Cricetulus griseus: one gene and its partners. The protein of the gene in region 1 purifies or fractionates together with the protein of each later gene. This does not show direct contact. Links are inferred from orthologs where the notes say so. Each region holds a gene or a part of one and is shown in the gene's direction. Other genes may lie near its edges. The genes, in order: Fhl2, Eya3 and Cnot1.

Region 1 (4,355 bases):
TTCTCTGTGGCTTTGGAGGCTGTTGTCCTGGAACTAGCTCTTGTAGACCAGGCTGGTCTCGAACTCATAGAGATCTTCTGCCTCTGCCTCCCGAGTGCTGGGATTAAAGGGATGTGCCACCAACACCCAGTTTGAGATAACTAACTTTACATAGAGGGGCTGAGCATCCTGGGGAGGCCATATATATATATACATATATATATATATATATATATATATATATATATATATATGATGCCGAGTAAGTGACAGGTCATGTGACCCCCCTTGCCTCTCATGTTCTGAGATTCCATCATGGGGATCCTCTTGTGGTGCCAGTCAGGAAGTATCAATGAGAAGAAAGCCATCCCACAGCTCTCCCTGCCTTCTCTAACATATGTTACCCCGAGCTCCCCTGGAGAATGCCTACACCCAAAACCATTGTGATGGTCCTTCAGTCGATTGGCTGAACTTGGGAACCCCTAGGAGACACACCTCTTTGAGGGCAGTTCCAGAGAGGTTTAACCGAGGGGCAAAGACTGACCCCCAAATGTGGACAGCACCTCTCAAGAGCTGGCCTCTCAGACTGGATGAAAAGGGGAAATTAAACTGTTTCCTGACTGAGAAGGCAATGTGACCAACCAACTTGACATTCTCACAGTGGCCATGCCATCTCAGTGATGACCAGCTGTATTCCTTCATAAACCCTGCAGCCAAACGAATCCTTCCATTAAGTTGTTGGTCAGGTTACAGCACTGAGAAGTCCTTGCCTCTGCCACTGCATGTGGGCCCCCCACCTACTCAAGAGCAGATGCTGCCCTTCCTAGACGTGGGGATGCGGGTACCTTCCACCACCATGTTGGACATTGCCTCCTGTCCCTACTAAGGGCCAGCTCTGTGCAGAAGACCTTGGCTTTGAGCATGAAGGACACATTAAGCCCTTCATTTGCTTTCTGCCTGCATGGAGCCACTGAATGTCAACAGCTAAACAGCTCTCAACCTTCTCTCAGTCAGCTACCTGGTGGAACAGAGTCATTAAAGATTCTTTACGTCATTGGTTGGGTTCATTCCACCACGGAGAGGTATTTGCAAGGGAAGGCCGGGGAAACTACCATGCCAGTGCATGCCCTACGCACACATCGTTCCTCCCCCAAATCTCCAAATGGCCCACCCATGCTTGCCCAGACGGCGACCAGGCGCAGACCCAGCAACCCAGAGGAGGGTCCTGGTGAGAATAGACCCATGTCATTCTGCCCTTAGGTGACAGCGGCCACAACCCTCTGCACTGCACTGCCACTGGCCCCTGGAGCGGAGGCCAGGGCGCAGGGAGGCTTGACTCTGTGCGCCACACACCGGGAAGTAAAGAAGAACGTTAAGTCAAACAAAGGGTCCGCAGCAGCTGCAGCAGGGGGGAACACGCGACGACAGGCGATCGAGGGGCGCTCGCCACCGCGCCCTGCTCCCTTGGCCCGCGCGCCCAGCCCGCCGCCCCTGCGCGTGTGTCCTTATATGGTCAAATGACTCGGCGGGGGTTCTCGAGGGCGGGAGCCGAGCCGGCTGCACTCCGCCTGCTGAGCCGCCGCCGCCGCCACCACCACCGCGCAACAGTCCTCTGAGTGCCCTAGACCCCGGCCCCGTCTTGCGCGAGTACTCCTGCCGCCGCCCAGTCCACAGCCGGACCTGGTACACAAGAATAGCCAGCAGACAGCTGCCCTAGCACGCGTGGAGAGACACCGGTGGCCAGCGTACCCTGACCGTGGGGCGGAGACCCGGCAGACCCGAGCAGGGCTGTGCAGACCGCACCCCTGTAGGGACCCAAAACGGGAGGAACAGATCCTGGAGGTAGGAGAGCCCTGTTTTGCAGAGGACACCAGGGATGGGGACCTAAAACGGAGAGCGTAGATCCGGGGAGAGGAGAGCCTAGCTGGGCAGGGGATACTCAGAAAGGGGACTCGAAATGAAGGGGAAGGAGGGGATACGGAGAGTCATGGAGACGGTGGACCGGAAACATGAGAGAAGAAGGGGAGTCTTGAAGGGGAGACCTCAGAACCGGGGAGTTGATCTACAGGAAGAGCGGATGCGGGGCAGAGAGGACTAGAATCATGAGTGCTAGGGACCCGAGCACAGGAGAGTCTGACTTGGGAATGGTGGGGAAGGGGACCATTGGTGTCCAGAGAGAGGGCTACAGCCCTAGAGGAGTGAGTCGCCGCCAGGTGGTGAGAGACGATGAGTCTCCCCCAGAGGCAAAGTGGAACTGGTCTCTGAAGTCTATGGAAGGGAGGTGACACGCTGGTCAGCACGTGGATGGCCAGGCATTTCCCTTGGGAAGAAATGGGAGTTTGCCTGTGACCACACATCTTGACTCATCCACAAAATTAAAACCTGAGCCATAGGGTTAAAGAAAAATAATAATAATAACGCTTTGAAATGAACAGAATTCTAACTGATAGATTGCAGTCTTGTGATGTCTTGTGGAAAGAAACGCTTCAATGCTGTTTCTGGTTTTAAATGAAGCATTGGTCGTATTTGCTTGATAGTCTCCAGTTGTGTCTCTGGAACTCACCGAAGCAGGCATTTTATGAAATATGCAGCTGTCTTTGGCAAAGCCAACTTGTGGCGTGCACTTTCTTGCACATATTTTTAGGAAGTAATGAACTACAATTTGGGCTTACAGTCATGATGAGATTGTCTTCAAAACACTACTCTAAATGTGTGTCATGTCGTGGTGTTGCTCTGCTTATATGTATATTTTGCAGTAATGTATGTGAGGAAGGTTGCTTGTGGTAGTGTTACTGTGGTTATCGTTTGAGATAAATCCTTACTCTGTAGCTGGGAAAGCCTGGAGTTTACCATGCCATCTCAGGTGAACTCACACTGGTGCCTATCCTCCTGCCTCAGCCTCCAAAGTGTTGCAATTACAGGAATGACCACGAATTCCTCAAGCCCCCCTCTCCCTCCCACAAAAAAACCCAATTTGCCCTAAGGCTTAGAGTTCCCAACCCATTACCTAAAGGTCAATAAAACCAAATTTAAAACAGTCATTTTTCTCACTCTTTTTTTCAGATTCATCTCTCTCCTAGTTTTTAACAGAATAGTGTGTTGCATTGGTGGCCCCCATCCTGGCTTCTCTTTGTTCTACCTCCTTGCTGTCCGGCCTAACAGATACAACATGGATAGGTGTAGAAAGCTTGGTTGGCAGATGCACCTGGAACAGAACCAAGATGCCAGAATTAACACTGGGACCTCTTAGCCCACATGGCCTTGCCTAATTCACAAAATCTATTGGTTGCTCAGTTTCCTCCGAGAGAATCAGATAACAAAGACGCTTTCCCAGCATACATATATACACATATGTGTGTATATAGATGCATATATATCCTGCATATTATATGCAGCATATGTAGATTTTATAGCCTCTTGTTCACAGATAAGAAAACTGAAACAGAATGGTCGAAGTAACTCTGATGTCCAAAGTTTCCCAGTATGTAGATTGTAGCCCTGAGAGCTGTATCTGGAGATTTCTACTCTGTACTGGGCCTCACTGTATGAATATTTTGTTGAGGCCCTATGCGGCATGTTTTTACCTAAGACTGTTAAATGCCTTCAATACTAAGCACTATCTCAACTTCAGAGAGAAATGCGTAGCAGGATATAGAAGAAAAAAATTCAGAAAGCCAAGAGGAGTGGATTCTCCCCCTGTTCTGCACAGAGGGCTGGCTACCCAGCACCTAACACACCACGTCCAAGTCACTGTTCTATTGTTGTGAGAAGACACCACGACCAAGGCAACTCTTATAAAAGAGAGCATTTAGTAGAGGGCTGGTTACAGTTTCAGAGGCTTAGTCCATTACTGTCACTGTCACAGCAGAGAGCATGGTGGCACTCAGGCAGACTTATGCTGGAGACGTAGCTGAAAGTTCTATTTTATGATCCACAAGTAGCAGGAAGAAAAATGGGGCTGAGTCTGGCATGGGCTTTTGAAACCTCAAAGCCTACCCTTAGCAACACACTTCCTCCATCAAGACCACACCTCCTAATCCTTCTAATCCTTCGGAGAATTCCACTTCCTGGTGGCTAAGCATTCGAACATATGAGCCCACAAGGATCACTCTAATATAAACTACCACACACCAGCTTAGCCATTTGTAAGCAGCTGTGGTTCAGATATGATTTTTCTTCAAGACTCTTGTGTTGGAAGCTTGGTCATCCTTGGGTAAATGTTGGGAGGTAGGGAGTGAAGTCTAGAGGTTAGAGAGCTGGTCCATCAGCTAGGAGTACTTACAGAGGGCTTGAGTTGGACACACCATTCATGAACCCCGGTAACTTCTACTACAAAAGAGCCTATATCTTCTTCTGGCTTTCATGAGCACCTGCAC
Region 2 (3,649 bases), on another chromosome or scaffold:
GCCCATCTGTGATTTGGTGTTGATCACTGTTATATTACATGTGCTTAGATGATCACTATAGCATCTTCAGTGTTCAAGTTTGTTTAATTGTTAACATGCTCAGACTTTCTCTGCAGCAACTGCTACGATCATTGCTGTCTCCACCAACTGTTTTTTGGCTACAGTTTACCTTCTCTGATTGACCTTCTGCGTCTCACTGCCCTACTCTTGCTGTGTCTGTACTTTCTTAAGTGCACAATTACCTTGGGGTTGAGAGGGTGCTGTTTTGTTCTGGGTGGATGGGTTGTTATTTTGAAATAGGGCCTCACTATATGTACCTTTGCTGTTCTGGGATACACCATATTTCAGGCCTCAAACTTGCATTGCTCCTCCTGTTTGTCTACTGAGCTGAGTTCACATGCCACCACAGTGGTCCAATGTTTTTGCTGAATTCCTAGCTGTCCTCCATGTAGCCTGTGTGGCTCTTTTCTTTTTGGTCTCCTAAGGCTAGTGTCTATAGCTACTTACTTCTGAAGTGTGTTTGACCAAACTCACTTGTCAACTTAGATGATGCATCTGTACTCAGGTGTCTGCATTTTGAAAATCATTGATTTCTTGGGACCTACGACTAGGTAGGTAGATAAAGAAGACAATATTTTAGGAAAATAATTATGACTAATAGAGAAGAAAAAGCCTCTTGTGTTTATACCTCTTGTAATGGTCGTGTTTTCCTCCCTTTGGTCCACAGGATTATCCTACCTATACTATCCTTGGACAGAATCAGTACCAGTCCTGCTACCCCAGCTCCAGCTTTGGAGTCACAGGCCAGACTAACAGTGATGCTGAGAACACTGCATTAGCAGCTACCACGTACCAGACAGAGAAGCCTAGTGCTATGGTACCTGCACCAGCCACACAGAGACTTCCCTCTGGTGAGTGCTGAAAGCTGGATTAAGGACACTGCATCCAACAGCGTTTCCAAGTGATGGTAAAAATGATTTTGTTCTGGGATAAGTTGGTTTCCGTTTCCAAGTTTAAACTTTGCAAACAGACTGATGAGAAACTGGCAGAATGTCTGTAGACGCTGAGAACAGAAAAGTCCCAACAGTGAGAAGATGTTTCTAGTGCATACTCTGCCCTCCCAGTAAGTGTAACACACTCACCAGGGCTCTTCAGACTAAGGGTATATTTGTTGGAGGTTGCAGGGCTCCAGTTTTAATCCAGGCATGTCTTAGATTCCTGCTAGGAACTCAGAGCAGGAGTTTCTGTGTCTTAAATTTCCTTAAGATTCCAAGAACAGCTACAGTCCTTTCCCAGTTGTCCTAACATTTGACTCACAAGGCTAGACACTGCTTGTGAGTGGCACTGGGAAGCATGGCTCTGCCTGTACTGCCATCAGCAGCCTGAAGAGTTCCCTTCTACTTAGGGACTTCTCATTTGCATAAAACCTAATTCTTTATTATGCTATAGAACTTTACAATCAGCCAAAGTGAGCAAAATTTGTAAGTTAGTTAAAATCAGGGAGAGTACATGCTTCACAAGTGTAAGTGTGGGAATTAGAATGCTTGGGAAAGATTACACAGCTTCGAAGCTGTGACTCCTCAAGGGAGAACTGCACGTAGGTGGCTTTACAATGATTTTGTGTCTAAGCCACATTGCTCAAAGAATAAAGTTTAAAGAATAAACAAAACTTGCCAGGTGGTGGTGCACACCTTTAATCCTTGCACTCGGGAGGCAGGAGGCAGGAGGCGGGAAGTGGGAGGCGGGAGGCGGGAGGCAGAGGCAGGAGGATCTCTGTGAGTTTGAGTCCAGCCTGGTCTACAGAGCGAGGTCCAGGACAGCCTCCAAAGCTACACAGAGAAACCCTGTCTTGAAAAACAAATAAACAAACAAACAAACAAAACTTAAATTTTAAGTAAAGTTTAAATATTAAGTAAAAAGGCTGGATGTGGGGCTGGAGAGATGGCTCAGTGGTTAAGAGCACTGACTGTTCTTCCAGAGGCCCTGAGTTCAATTCCCGGCAACCACATGGTAGTTCATAACCACCTTGAATGAGAGCTGATGCCCTTGGCTGGCATGCAGGAAGAAGAGTGTATACATAATAAATTTAAAAAAAAAAAAAAAAAAAAAGCTGGATGTGGTGGCAAACACCTTTGACACTTAGACTTAGGAGGCTAAAGCAGTCAGATATCTGTGAGTTCTAGGCCAGCCTGGTCCACATAGTGAGCCCATATCTCAAAAAACAAACAAACAAAAAAACAACAACAAAAAAAAAAAACCAAAGGTTAGAGATTAGTTCTTCTATTTTGCACTAGAGATGGCTCCACAGTTAAGAGCACTGACTGTTCTTCTAGAGGAGCTGGGTTCAATTCCCAGCACCCACATGGCAGCTCACAACTGTCTGGAACTCCATCAGCTCCATAGGATCTGATGTCCTCTCTAACTTCCTGGGACACTGCATATGTGTGGTGCACAGACTTACATGCAGGCAAAACATACATATAAAATAACAATAATAATTTTTTTAAAAACTGTAAAGCTGATTTATTTCTCTTTAAATTTTCTTTTAGATTTATTTATATTATTTGTGTGTGTTTTATATGCCTACATGTATGTATACCAGTGCTTTTCTGCTGCCCTCTAAGGTCAGAAGAGGGCTTCGGGCTCCCTGGAACTGGAGGTGCAGGGGCTCTGGGTTACAGGTAGTGGCTGGAACTAAATCCAAGTCTCCGCAAAAGGAACAAGTGCTCTAAGCCATCTTTCAGTCAAGGGCATTTTCCTCATAACTGAAATTGTAAGTGCTTTTCATAAGGTGTGTTGTTTAGCTTTAAGGATGAGAGAAGGGTGCTAGTACAATTAAACTCTGGCCATAAGTAGGCACAATTTATTGTTCGCTGCCCTTTGAGGATGTCTTTAGGAAGTCAGATACTGTCTCTGAAGGCCAGTGATTCTCAACATGTCAGTCATAAGCCCTTAGTGTTGTCCAGTGACCCTCACAGGGGTCACCTAAGACCATTGGAAAACACAGATATTTACTTTAAGATTCATAAAAGTAGCAAAATTGCAGTTATAAAGTAGCAATGAAAATAATTTTTTTGTTTGGGGGTCACTACAACATGAGGAACTGTATTAAAGGCCCCCAAATTAGGAAGGTCGAACCATTGATGTAGGAAGATATTGTCTCTGTAGGCAGTTCTTCAGACTCCCAGCCAGATTGTGGTATATGGGGCTTCTCTCTTATTTTTAAACCCTGGTTTTTTATTTTGTTTTTTTATTGCTCCTCATGCTGACCCCTCTCCTTACTATGGGTCTCATAGCTTGTGACTGCTGACAGTTTGTATCTTACTTTTCCTTTCAATAGATTCATCTACAAGCCCATCTTTGTCCCAAACTACACCAAATAAAGACGCTGATGATCAGTCCAGGAAGAATATGACTGTCAAGAACCGGGGCAAGAGGAAAGCTGATGCCGGTTCCTCCCAGGACAGCGAATTAGAAGTATGTGAAGAAACTCACTGGAGTTACCTATTCTGTTTTCCTTACTTCCAGTCAAGTGCATGTCTCCAATTTGCAGAGATAATGTTATTGTATGTTGTGTCCACTTGAATTCCTGGGGCCGGGGGCTGGCGTTAATTAGCCAAGAGGAAAAAAAAGTAAGTAAAAGAAAATC
Region 3 (3,649 bases), on another chromosome or scaffold:
ATCTTTACAACTACAAAATGATTTCACACTGGGAGAGTGTGGGAACATTGAATTCATTTCAACATAGACTCTGTAGCATCTATCTGTTTTATCCTCTAAACGGAAGAATTTGCCCCAAACCAACAACAGTGTCCACCACAGAGGAAGCCCATGGGAAAATCAGGGAGGACAGAAAAGATGGAAACATAATTCACCCACTTCTCTATTACATTTCCCCGAATCCTCTTTGACTCCTAGTCCCGTCTAACTTAATGTCTCATTGGCCAAACAGTATTTTATTTAACAATCAATAAAATAAATATACACAGAACATTCCCCATCACGCTTCCCCTGCTAGGAAAAAATAAAACAATTCCTAAAACTGTACCTTAAAAATACTTTGACGTTTTAAGCAGTTAATTCGTATCCCAGACCTGAACAGTGGAACACAGAAGCTCCCTGAAATCAGCCCCAAGTAAATATGGCCATGAGCAGACATCATCCTGCGTATACCTGAGGCTGCAAGGGGTGGGCGGGGGGTGTCATTCTCTACATTTTCAGAGTCAATGGCTGCTAATGGTTGGTTTGGGGGCTTAATCTCAAGTGGGTATTTCTCAGCAGTGTCTTGAACTTCCTTGGCAATTCTGTCCATCCAGTCTATTAAGTCTTTTTCAAGTTTCTTAGCTTCATTCATGATCCTTTCCTGACGTTCATTCAACTGAGACAGGAGGTCCAAGTTCTTTTTTGGTTTTTCAAAACAGGGTTTCTCTGTGTGGCTTTGGAGCCTATCCTGGCACACGCTCTGGAGACCAGGCTGGCCTCGAACTCACAGAGATCCGCCTGCCTCTGCCTCCCGAGTGCTGGGATTAAAGGTGTGAGCCACCAACACCCGTCCAGAGGTCCAAGTTCTTATACATTTGCTTCACACCTAAGCAGGCTTCGGGGGACCAGGTCTCAGACTCCTGCTTCCTTGGGGAAGTCTGGTCGGACATGTATCGGTCAAAATTCTCCTGACTTAAATTCAAAGACTGAGCCTCTAATTTCTCAATGAAAGCCACAGCACAGCACAGGTTGGTGAAATAGTAGCCATCTTTGCCAGTCATAAGCCGGCTGGGTTTGCAGAAGCGAGTGGTGTACTGGATGTTGGACTGCAGCCGAGGTGGGGGTTGCCCTTCAGGAGGATGTAGATGAGGGTGGGCAGGAAGTCATCAGCTGAGGCTGGCTCATTCTTGGTCATCTGATGGCATTGAAGATGTGCTTGCTGCACGTGATGATGCAGGCTAGCTTGTCCCGAGGCACACGCTTGAGTCCATCTCAATGATGTCTGTGATCGCTTTCACCACCATGTCAGACACGTCAGGGATTTCCTCATTGACAGGGACACAGAGCATCTGAGGTGTCACCCAGTGCAAAGCCCTGATCCTCTTTTGAATGGCAAGCTCTTTTTTCTCATTATCAGTAGTCTCTGGGCAGAACACAAATTTATAGAGACGGGTCATAATGTGCTTTTCCATCTAATCCATTATCTGGAGGCACTTTTCCACGAGTCTGCATTCTTTCAGCCACATTCTGGTATAAGTCCTGAGTACATTCTGACTGTTCCTCAATGCTTAAATCCCTTTTGTAATGCATTGCTTCCAAGAACATCTTCATCTGTTTATAGATTTCTTGGCCTGTCTGTGTCTTGAGAAAGTCTATGAACTCTTTAGTTATTCTATCCGTCTCAATGCTGATTTGCCTGTTTATGGAGGGTCTGGGAGCTTTGGCTTCCTGAATGTCTGCCTTCTTGGATCCAACCCTGGAAGAGGCATTGAAGAACTTCTTCACTGTGGTGACCTTGTGGGTCTTCTCATTGGTTTTCTTTTCCTCAAACTTGGAGAAAGTGAGGGACTGGGCTCCTTGGCTGCTCTGACTGCTAGCAAAGGCCTCTTCCTCTTCCCGCTGGCCTTTCTGCTAGCTCCCAGTCAGTCCTCTTGGATCTGCTTCTGGTGGGCCTTGTGGTACTCCTCCCTCTAGCACTTAGAATAGAAACCCTGCCAGGCAGGGGTGCCCGTAGTAACTACATCCTTTCTTGCATAGGAGCTCAGATTGAGCCACATGAATTTCCCAGCGTTCAGACTTCAGGCTCATCTTTCTGGTCCGCCCCTCCTCCGGCATCCGACAGCCGCTCCCAGCGCCACTTCAGTCACTCTGCTCCTCGCCCCACCCCTCCACAGCAGTTTTCTAAGTGCTAGATGAAATAGAATGTTTTAGCTGGTTGGATGGTGAGACAGTGCTGAACTAGGTCTCCACTATTGAGACATTAAAGGAAATCTGTAGAATGTAAAATGGTAGCCCTCCCTCCCTCTTAATTTATGTATTTGCATTGTTGTTTGCCTACACGAGCATCTGTGAAGGGTGTTCTATTCCCTGGAACAGGAGTTTACAGACAATTGTTAACTGCTGTGTGGGTGCTGGGAATTGAGCCCAGGTCCTCTGGAAGAGCAGTCAATGCTCTTAAACCACTGAGCCATCTCTCCAGCCCCTTAAGAATTTCAGTAAAACATTTTTATTAACAGGTTAAGCACAGTCTTTTTATAAAAACAAGTATGTAAGGCTGGATGGTGGTGGGTGCATGACTCCTGAATTCTCTTGGATCTACAGAATTCCAGGACAGCCAAGACTACACAGATAAACCCTGTCTCAAAAAACAAAAGACAAAAACAAGTGTGTAAGAGTTTCGCTAATTCATAACATGGAAAGTTTTGCAAATAAAACCTACAGAAGCAAAAACAGTGGGATCCAGAGAACCACTAGTAAACCACAGAATTAGAATAACCTTCACAGATTTTCATGTCATCCTTGCACAAGGCCATGCTGATTTTCTTATTTGTGTGGTTAAAAGTGAGTTCCCTGGTATATCAGTCCCCTTCAGAAACAGAACATTTGTCTCCCATATTGGCCTTTCAGAGTAAACCCAAAATCTCATTTCCTTCATTTTTAGGCCGGTATCTTTTCTTAAATGCAATTGCAAACCAGCTGCGGTACCCAAACAGCCACACTCACTACTTCAGCTGCACCATGCTGTACCTTTTTGCTGAGGCAAACACTGAGGCAATCCAGGAACAGATCACAAGGTAAGAGATCATTGTCAAGATGCCTTAAAAGGGCACTATGGACTTCCCTTTAAGGTTTTAAGGAGGAGAAACTAGGAGCAAACTGTTTTCTGTTGTTTAATATGCATATGGTACATAGTACAGTGAGGTACACATACCTTAAAGATTTTAATGTATGTTAGGTGTGGTGGCACACCCCTTTAATCCCAGCACTCGGGAGGCAGACAGATCTCTGAGTTCCAGGATAGCCAGTGCTACACAAAGAAACCCTCAATAAAACAAAAAAGATTTAATTTACCTGTTCACCTCAATAAATACTAGTGCCCATTGTTCTCAGATGTTCACAACATCTGAACTGTTGTGTTTAATGCATGCTTGGATGACAAAGTACCATTTTGTTTGTAATTATGTCTAAAGCTGCAACAAAGGCTTCAGTCCTTAATCTTTGCCCCAAGGAAATAAAGAACACAGCATTGCAACTAGCAGGTCACAGTACATGAATGTTTAAGCCAGCACTTGCAGCCACATAGGAAGAATTCCACTCATTTACATATGCTGTAGTATTGTTAAAAAAT

Evidence for each region.
Region 2: the proteins of Fhl2 (region 1) and Eya3 purify together in Homo sapiens (affinity purification with mass spectrometry; 3 studies listed by BioGRID and IntAct, with this or other methods). This does not show direct contact. The link is inferred for Cricetulus griseus from reciprocal best matches to the Homo sapiens genes FHL2 and EYA3.
Region 3: the proteins of Fhl2 (region 1) and Cnot1 purify together in Homo sapiens (affinity purification with mass spectrometry; 3 studies listed by BioGRID and IntAct, with this or other methods). This does not show direct contact. The link is inferred for Cricetulus griseus from reciprocal best matches to the Homo sapiens genes FHL2 and CNOT1.

The regions. Positions count from the first base shown.
Region 1 is NW_023276807.1:5,338,601-5,342,955, forward strand, and holds the start of Fhl2 (four and a half LIM domains protein 2), read left to right. Parts: upstream 1-1,510; 5' UTR 1,511-1,821; intron 1,822-4,355. UniProt on the Homo sapiens protein: May function as a molecular transmitter linking various signaling pathways to transcriptional regulation. Negatively regulates the transcriptional repressor E4F1 and may function in cell growth.
Region 2 is NC_048595.1:20,577,824-20,581,472, reverse strand, and holds part of Eya3 (eyes absent homolog 3), read left to right. Parts: intron 1-727; coding exon 728-911; intron 912-3,340; coding exon 3,341-3,477; intron 3,478-3,649. UniProt on the Homo sapiens protein: Tyrosine phosphatase that specifically dephosphorylates 'Tyr-142' of histone H2AX (H2AXY142ph). 'Tyr-142' phosphorylation of histone H2AX plays a central role in DNA repair and acts as a mark that distinguishes between apoptotic and repair responses to genotoxic stress.
Region 3 is NC_048596.1:171,908,561-171,912,209, reverse strand, and holds part of Cnot1 (CCR4-NOT transcription complex subunit 1), read left to right. Parts: intron 1-477; exon of another isoform or gene 478-721; intron 722-890; exon of another isoform or gene 891-2,124; intron 2,125-2,962; coding exon 2,963-3,095; intron 3,096-3,649.